Linked DNA regions of Xenopus tropicalis. The protein of the gene in region 1 purifies or fractionates together with the protein of each later gene. This does not show direct contact. Links are inferred from orthologs where the notes say so. Each region holds a gene or a part of one and is shown on either strand. Other genes may lie near its edges. The genes, in order: abcc1 and vdac3.

Region 1 (3,820 bases):
CATTTATTACTAGGTGAGAACCAAGGAGTAGCTTCACCTTGCAAATTGCAAACAGTCTTCCTCTTTGGCAGTACACCTGAGTTTTTATGCAACCAAAACTTTCCTCTAAGTCTTAAATTCAAAAATGAACACCTAGTTTGAGACCACTGAAGGCACTGGTTGGGGACCATTGATCTAGAATGGTGATCCCCCAACCAGTGGCTTGTGAGCAACATGTTGCTCCCCAACCCCTTGGATGTTGATTCCAGTGGCCTCAATTTTTGAATTCCTGGCTTGGAGGCAAGTTTTTGGTACTGCCAAACAGAGCCTCATGTAGGCTGACAGTCTACATAAGGGCCTACCAAATAGCCAATCATAGCCCTTATTTGGCACCCCCAGTAACATTTATCATGCTGCCCAACTCTTTTTACACTTGAATGTGGCTCACGGGTAAAAAAAAGTTGGGGACATCTGATCTAGAATATAGGTTATACTTACTACTTGTTAGGCCTGTGCTATATACAGTAACTAGATTTCTAGCCAAACACATACTCCTAAATGCACTGTCCAACCTCTTTTAAAAGGAATAAGAAGGGTAGTTCTGCATGCTTTGGGAAGTAAATGCAATGGTTAAAAACTGTCATTGCTGCAGTGGGTGACAGCCCCTTTCTGCCAGAGCATTGAATGGAATTGTTTGCTTTTGTAGTACGGTTTTTCATGTAACTGGCTTAATATTCAGGTAATTTCAAGTAATGTGTGAAAATCCTCTCCCACCATCTGGTGGTTTTTAGAAGGCACTCTGATTAGTGTAAACTTTTTGCTGTTACCCAGAATGATTCATTAAAGTGACTATTTCATCCAGTTGTATTCTGGTTCGTTGAATTGCGCAGTTGACGTGTGCCAAATATAAACAAGAAATGTAAGTTTTTTGAATAATATCCCGTATAATGAAGAAGCTTCTCTAAAATGCCACCTTTTTCCTCCACTCCCATAGAAGCACCAAGTCCAGTCCCTTCAGAAGAAAAACGTTTGGAGAATGGAATTTTAAGAAATGAAAGGAATTTACAGAGGTGTGTATCAGAAATCATGCAGTTGCAGTCATTCCACTTCTTATTGCAGCTTTAGCACATTTATCTTTTTGCATGTTAGCTCCTTAGCACTTTCATATACATTTTCTCTTTAATTTCAGACAATTAAGTGCATCCTCTGAAACCAAGTCTTTGAATCAGAACAAGACAGGAGATTTAAACAGCTCAGAAAAAGATGATTGGAAACTGACTGAAGCAGACAAAGCCAAAACAGGAAGGGTAAGCCACACCCCCTTGTCTGTTTAGTTTTATTATTATTATGATCCTCTTAAAGCAGGGGTGGCCAATACGTCGATAGCGGTCCACCAGTTGATCCCCCGTGGATTTCTGGTGGACTGCGATGAAGCCGGGGATGCGGAAGTGCCGCGTGAATGCATACGTATGCTGTGTCGCGTATATACGGCGTATATACGCCGCACTTCCGCATCCCCGGCTTCATTGGTCGATCGCGGACGAAAAAAGTCTGCCCATCCCTGTCTTACAGTGTATAGCGCAGACATATTCAGCGCACTGAATTACAGGTCAGTCCCTGCTCTAGTGAAGCTTGCAGTGTGAGATCACACAAACTTTATACAGGTATGAGTTATAGGAAGGCCATCTCCCATATTTTAATGAAATAATTCAAAAAGTTTAACATTATTTTCTTTTTCTCTGTAAAAATAAAACAATACCTTGTACTTCATCCCAACTAAGATATAATGAATCCTTATTGGAGGCAAACAGTCCAATTGGGTTTATTTAATGTTTAAAGGATTTTTTAGTAGACTTAAGGTATGGAGATCCAAATTACAGAAAGACCCTTTATCCCTTTGTCCTGAGCATTCTGGATAATAGGTCCCATACCTGTAGATAAAATTATCAGGAACCAGTTAACCTGCCTGTGTATTTGTGGAGTGTGGAAGAAAACAACCAGAGTTCCAGGTGACCACACCCTTTTTTGAGACGACTGCAAACAGCTGTAGCTGTTTAAGGTTTTAAAGGGCCAAATAATGAAGAAAATCCTTTAGAGATGAGATTCCTTCTGATCAAGCTTTTTAGTATATTTTATGAAGTTTCACTTTCATTTAACAGATGTGGACCTTAAGAGAGATTTCGGGTTTATTAATGGTGCACATGTTTTACACAAGTGTAGTATCATATTAAATCTCAGTAAGTCTCCAGGCTAAAATTTTTCTTTCATGTTTGATAGGTAAAGCTGGCAGTATTCTGGGAGTATATGAAAGCCATCGGACTGTTTCTTTGCTTCCTAAGCATTTTTCTTTTTATGTGCAACCATGTTGCATCTTTGGCCTCTAACTATTGGCTTAGTCTGTGGACAGATGACAAGGTTGTTAATGGGACACAACAAAATACTACAATGAGGCTGAGTGTTTATGGAGCTTTGGGATTCTCACAAGGTATGCTGAGGTTTCTTCTGATTGACAGTACTAAGCATTAGGCTTATCATGTATTTCTTGTGTTATTTTATAAGTAAATGGGATCATACATAGAGATAAGAAGCACAACTGTTGGTCACACTGCAATGCACTCTGTAGAGTTCTCTGGGGAAGGAAAATTTAGTGGGACACTGCTGCTGTTTTAGGGCACCTTAGGGCATCTCTCTAGCTCTTGTGGATGAAAACAACCTTTACTGAAAATGAACAGTTCTTGTCTGGTAGCTATGGGTTACTGCAAACTAATACTGCAGGGTAAAAAATAGCTTAACCTGATCATTCTGAGGCTAATGAAGCAGAAGGTAACGTGTGTCACTTTCTTCCCATTGTAGGCATTGCAGTGTACGGATATTCTACGGCTGTATCCCTAGGAGGGATTCTTGCATCCCGGTTCCTTCACACAGATTTGCTGCACAATGTCCTGCGGTTTCCTATGAGCTTCTTTGAACGGACCCCAAGTGGGAATCTTGTAAACCGTTTTTCAAAGGAAATAGACACCATTGACAATACCATCCCTCAGATCATTAAGATGTTCATGGGGTCCCTGTTTAATGTCATCGGTGCATGTGTTATCATTCTAACTGCAACCCCCATAGTCGCTGTAATCATTCCACCCCTTGGTCTGGTTTACTTCTTTGTACAGGTAAATATAAATTGAGGAATCCTTCTCATAAGATATTTATTTTGTTATTCTTGCACAGAGCAGTGTTGAGCATGCTGGTCCTAACAATATCACATTGCTGCATGATGTGGTAGATTAGTGCAGGCACACTACTGGTTTTCCAGCAGTCACTGAGAGACTGGATGAGATGAGGAGCCCTTCAGTTCTTTGGGCTAATGAGCATTTGTACTTGCCCATACGATCATCTGGCAGAATGATTTATTGACTTGCCGACCCAACAAAGTGGTTCCCTGTTGCTCTGTATTTTGACCTTAGTGCAGTCACCTTTAGCGAGAATGGTGAGCAAAGGCTGCATCAGGATATGTAGCTTGGAGGAGCAATAGTGCGTGCATGACCTTGATGTTAATGCCTGTGCTTTAAATCCTCTTCGTATGGATTTTTATAGTGATGGTTTCACTTTAAATTTAGCATAAAGCCAGACAACGCAGCAAGAAATCTTGCAGTGGGGCCCTAAAATTAGTCTGTAAGAAGTCTATAAAAATAGCACATTCGTTATTTTTACTAATAAGTCATTCTTTTATTTGAGCATCAGTGTTGTTTATACATAAGTTTCTTTAACTTACATAAATTGCATATGTCTAGGAGGCCCAATGATGTCGCTGTGGGATCCATTAATTAGTCATTTCACTGCTAAAAAG
Region 2 (3,920 bases), on another chromosome or scaffold:
GATACTCGGCATCATTATACAGAGCAGCCCGGTCATTATCAGCGTATAGAGATACTCAGCATCATTATACCGAGCAGCCCGGTCATTATCAGCGTATAGAGATACTCAGCATCATTATACAGAGCAGCCTGGTCATTATCGTTGTACACAGACAAAATTTGTTCAGTAGAGTGCATTAGTTATGAGCATACAGAGGTACTCATCAGTACTATACATAGCAGGCTGCCCAGGCTACAGGTTGGTACAATGCACAGTGTTACAGCTACCTTACACACTTACACATTTGTATGAAGCTGGAAGTCTCCTGCTGTATAGCCCAATGCAAAGTTGTTTTGTGCCAGTCTGGATTTAGCGGTGTCGAATGCCATCTGATAGCCAGCCAGCCAGCCCTGATAGCCAAGCACCCCCCAGCCATATATGGTGGGACCAGCCAAGTCCAGGTCTATATCAATGCCCACGTTGGCATGGTCTCTTTTGTAGGAGGTCTTTAGCTTAGCGCTCTTCTTACTGTGGGAGAGAAAGCAAGGATGTGAAAGGATGGCAAAGAAGAGTACAAAGGGCATTGAAATGATTTGGGAGAATAGTAAAAGACCATAAGGGGAGAGATGATGGGAATGGGACATAGCAGTAAAGATGGCTACTAGGGACCCCTGCCCCACCCCCTATATTTCAAGAGGAGTTTGTCACTTACCCCGTATTGGGCACAAATGTAGTGTCCACTGAGAGCTTCAAACCTGTTGCCAACTGCGCGGATAGAAGAACACAGAGAGGCAGTCAGAATAAGACAGCAGCCAACTGGAAACAGCCTCCAACTGTCGGGGTCTCACCTTATCTTCAATGGCCACTTCAGTCCCCAGGGTGTTGTCTGTGTTCCATTTCTGGGTGAAGGTGACTCCAGCCTCTTTCATCTTGTATTTTGTCTCTAGGTTGCCTGATGCTTTCCCTGTGTCAGTGTTGGATGAGCCGCTGCTTGTGAACTCCTGAAAGTAACCCCCCCATACCCAATTCAGTGTCATACAGTATAGGGTCAGAGATGTTTGTACCCAGAACATAATGGGACTGGTGTATGGGCTTTTTTGTAATCTATTTATGGCCCTCGCCTTAGTATATCACACAGGCCTGTGATTGGTTAAGAATGTATGCATGTTTATTAGGCTTAACGAGTAGGAGTGCCCCTGAAACTACATATTTTCCCCCCAATACTCCAGGTCACCCAAGTCACATGGATGCAGGCCCATTTGCTCTTGAGGACTTTTAATAAATAAGCCACACCATGGGCTTTTAGCATTAAACAATGAATGCCCTGCCAATAGAATTACAGTAAGATATTATTTCCTTACCATCTATAGGGTTTCCAGTGCCGCATGGAAAGGGAGGAAACAAGCACATTACACTGAATGCTCATACAGGAAGCACAACAATAACAACGCATTGTATCTTACTCACCACTCCACTGGAGGACTTGGTCTTGAGATCCAGCTTCACCAGGCCAAATCCTAGAGTCAGAGAATTACACTGCATTATGTTCTGCAGCAGAGAATAGGGGGATCCCCACAGGCAGCATAGGGCAGGCAGACTATGGCTCACACAGGCAGCATAGGGCAGGCAGACTATGGCACACACAGGCCGCATAGGGCAGGCAGAGTATGGCGCACACACAGGCCGCATAGGGCAGGCAGAGTATGGCGCACACACAGGCCGCATAGGGCAGGCAGAGTATGGCACACAGGCCGCATAGGGCAGGCAGAGTATGGCACACACAGGCAGCATAGGGCAGGCAGAGTATGGCACACACAGGCAGCATAGGGCAGGCAGGGTATGGCACACACAGGCAGCCTAGGGCAAGCAGAGTATGGCACACACAGGCAGCATAGAGCAGGTAAAGTATGGCACTCACAGGCAGCTAAGGGCAGGCAGAATATGGCACACACAGGCAGCATAGGGCAGGCAGAGTATGGCACACACAGGCAGCATAGGGCAGGCAGAGTATGGCACACACAGGCAGCATAGGGCAGGCAGAGTATGGCACACACAGGCAGCATAGTGCAGGCAGAGTAAGGCACACACAGGCAGCATAGGGCAGGCAGAGTATGGCACACACAGGCAGCATAGGGCAGGCAGAGTATGGCACACACAGGCAGCATAGGGCAGGCAGAGTATGGCACACACAGGCAGGGTAGGGCAGGCAGAGTATGGCACACACAGGCAGAGTATGGCACACACAGGCAGCATAGGACAGGCAGAGTATGGCACACACAGGCCAGGCAGCATAGATCTGAGGTGTGACAGGACATTACAGGTGTGAAAAATACATAGACTTACAGTCTGAATCTGAGATGGGGCAGTTAATCTCGGTACTGACACCATTTAAAGCATACACAAAAATAAGCAGTCACAGCAGCTAGACACATGGGAGGCCAAGGGCCACATGTTGGACAGATGGGGGGGGGGGGGCAAACAGAGGGGCACCAGTTGGACATCACTACTATAGGGCTTCCTGGTTCTCTTCCAAAGCTAGAGGTGATACATTTAATTTACACTGCATAGCTCAAAAACCTGTAAGTTGATATAAAATATAAATTAGTCCCAACTCACCATATCCTTTATTAAAAACATCTCGGGCGGCTTTGCCCAGGTCTGCGTATGTAGGTGGCACGGCCATGTTTACTATGAAGGAAATAATATTTACAGATAAAATATCCATGCACCAATAATAATATCATTTATAAAGTTCTTCCTAGTAAACCTTATTGACTCCTTATGCCCCTCCTACAGGTCACTCCTCTGATTGCCACTAATATAAACATATTTTTACTGGACTTCAAATAAGGCTCATAGATTTTTTTCGTACTTATTTCCCAGTTGTAATATAAACCCCCCATGTGCACCCAAACCCCTTCTGTTCCCAGTGCAAATGACTGTGCTGTAGCCTTACAGGAGTGAATGTTCTTCCCTACACACTGTACAAGGTGCTTGATGGTGCAGCAGCTACAGAACTACTGTCACTGTGTGATTGATCTGTGGAATAACCTTTCACCAACGCCATTCCTTACATTGCTCTCTGTGGCCCTTTCACTGGCTAAACTGGTTCCTGTCAGTACAAGTCGCTCTGCACAGACTGAGCCTCACGTATCTGCAGCCTGGGCTCTTGCTGAAATACAGATAGCAGCAGCTGCACAATCCCACTGGCCGCCATATATTCTGCAATCAAACTGCCTTCTACTCTATAAATTAGATGCCTGTAGGCTCTCTTGGGGTCGCTGAACTACAATCCCTCCAGAATTCCACTGAAGGCTGCCTAGGCATGCTGGGAGTTGGGAGGTTTGTCCAGTTGCCCATCATTGCTTGCATGCCCTCCAGCTGTTGGGAGGTTTGTCCAGTTGCCCATCATTGCTTGCATGCCCTCCAGCTGTTGGGAGGTTTGTCCAGTTGCCCATCATTGCTTGCATGCCCTCCAGCTGTTGGGGGCCCCCAGGCTGAACATCCCCTGTCAGTAAGTCATGTTGCTTCCCCTTGGATGTGGCCCCATAAGGCTCCCACCCACTTACAGGACACTGCTGCTCTCCCAGGAAGGAGCTGCTCTCAGGTCTCTATACACTAGGCTGGCCCAACAGGGCTGCTCACGGTGCATCACTACCTGCCTGTCTCAGTTATACACAACATGTCCCCCTTAGTTTCACAACTGTGTAACCCCCCCCCCCCCCTGGAGCCTGCACCTCTCCCCTACACACACCCCGCACACACCCACCTACACGCACCCAGCTCTGTTGCCCCCCTACCCAGCACGCTTTCTGCAGCGCTCTAACCCCACCTTTACACATTTACCCGACACACAAGTCCCCTTTGTCTGCCCACTTGTCACCTGTCCCCGGCTGAAGGTCTCTGCGTCTCACCTCTCTGCGCATGCGCTAATCCCAAAC

The links.
Region 2: the proteins of abcc1 (region 1) and vdac3 fractionate together in Homo sapiens (co-fractionation; 3 studies listed by BioGRID). This does not show direct contact. The link is inferred for Xenopus tropicalis from reciprocal best matches to the Homo sapiens genes ABCC1 and VDAC3.

The regions. Positions count from the first base shown.
Region 1 is NC_030685.2:33,870,042-33,873,861, reverse strand, and holds part of abcc1 (ATP binding cassette subfamily C member 1), read left to right. Parts: intron 1-973; coding exon 974-1,049; intron 1,050-1,168; coding exon 1,169-1,286; intron 1,287-2,256; coding exon 2,257-2,464; intron 2,465-2,832; coding exon 2,833-3,143; intron 3,144-3,820.
Region 2 is NC_030679.2:130,615,571-130,619,490, reverse strand, and holds the start of vdac3 (voltage-dependent anion-selective channel protein 3), read right to left. Parts: upstream 2,670-3,920; 5' UTR 2,668-2,669; coding exon of another isoform or gene 2,663-2,667; coding exon 2,596-2,662; intron 1,497-2,595; coding exon 1,447-1,496; intron 1,344-1,446; coding exon of another isoform or gene 1,341-1,343; intron 981-1,340; coding exon 828-980; intron 745-827; coding exon 692-744; intron 508-691; coding exon 280-507; intron 1-279. UniProt on the Homo sapiens protein: Non-selective voltage-gated ion channel that mediates the transport of anions and cations through the mitochondrion outer membrane and plasma membrane.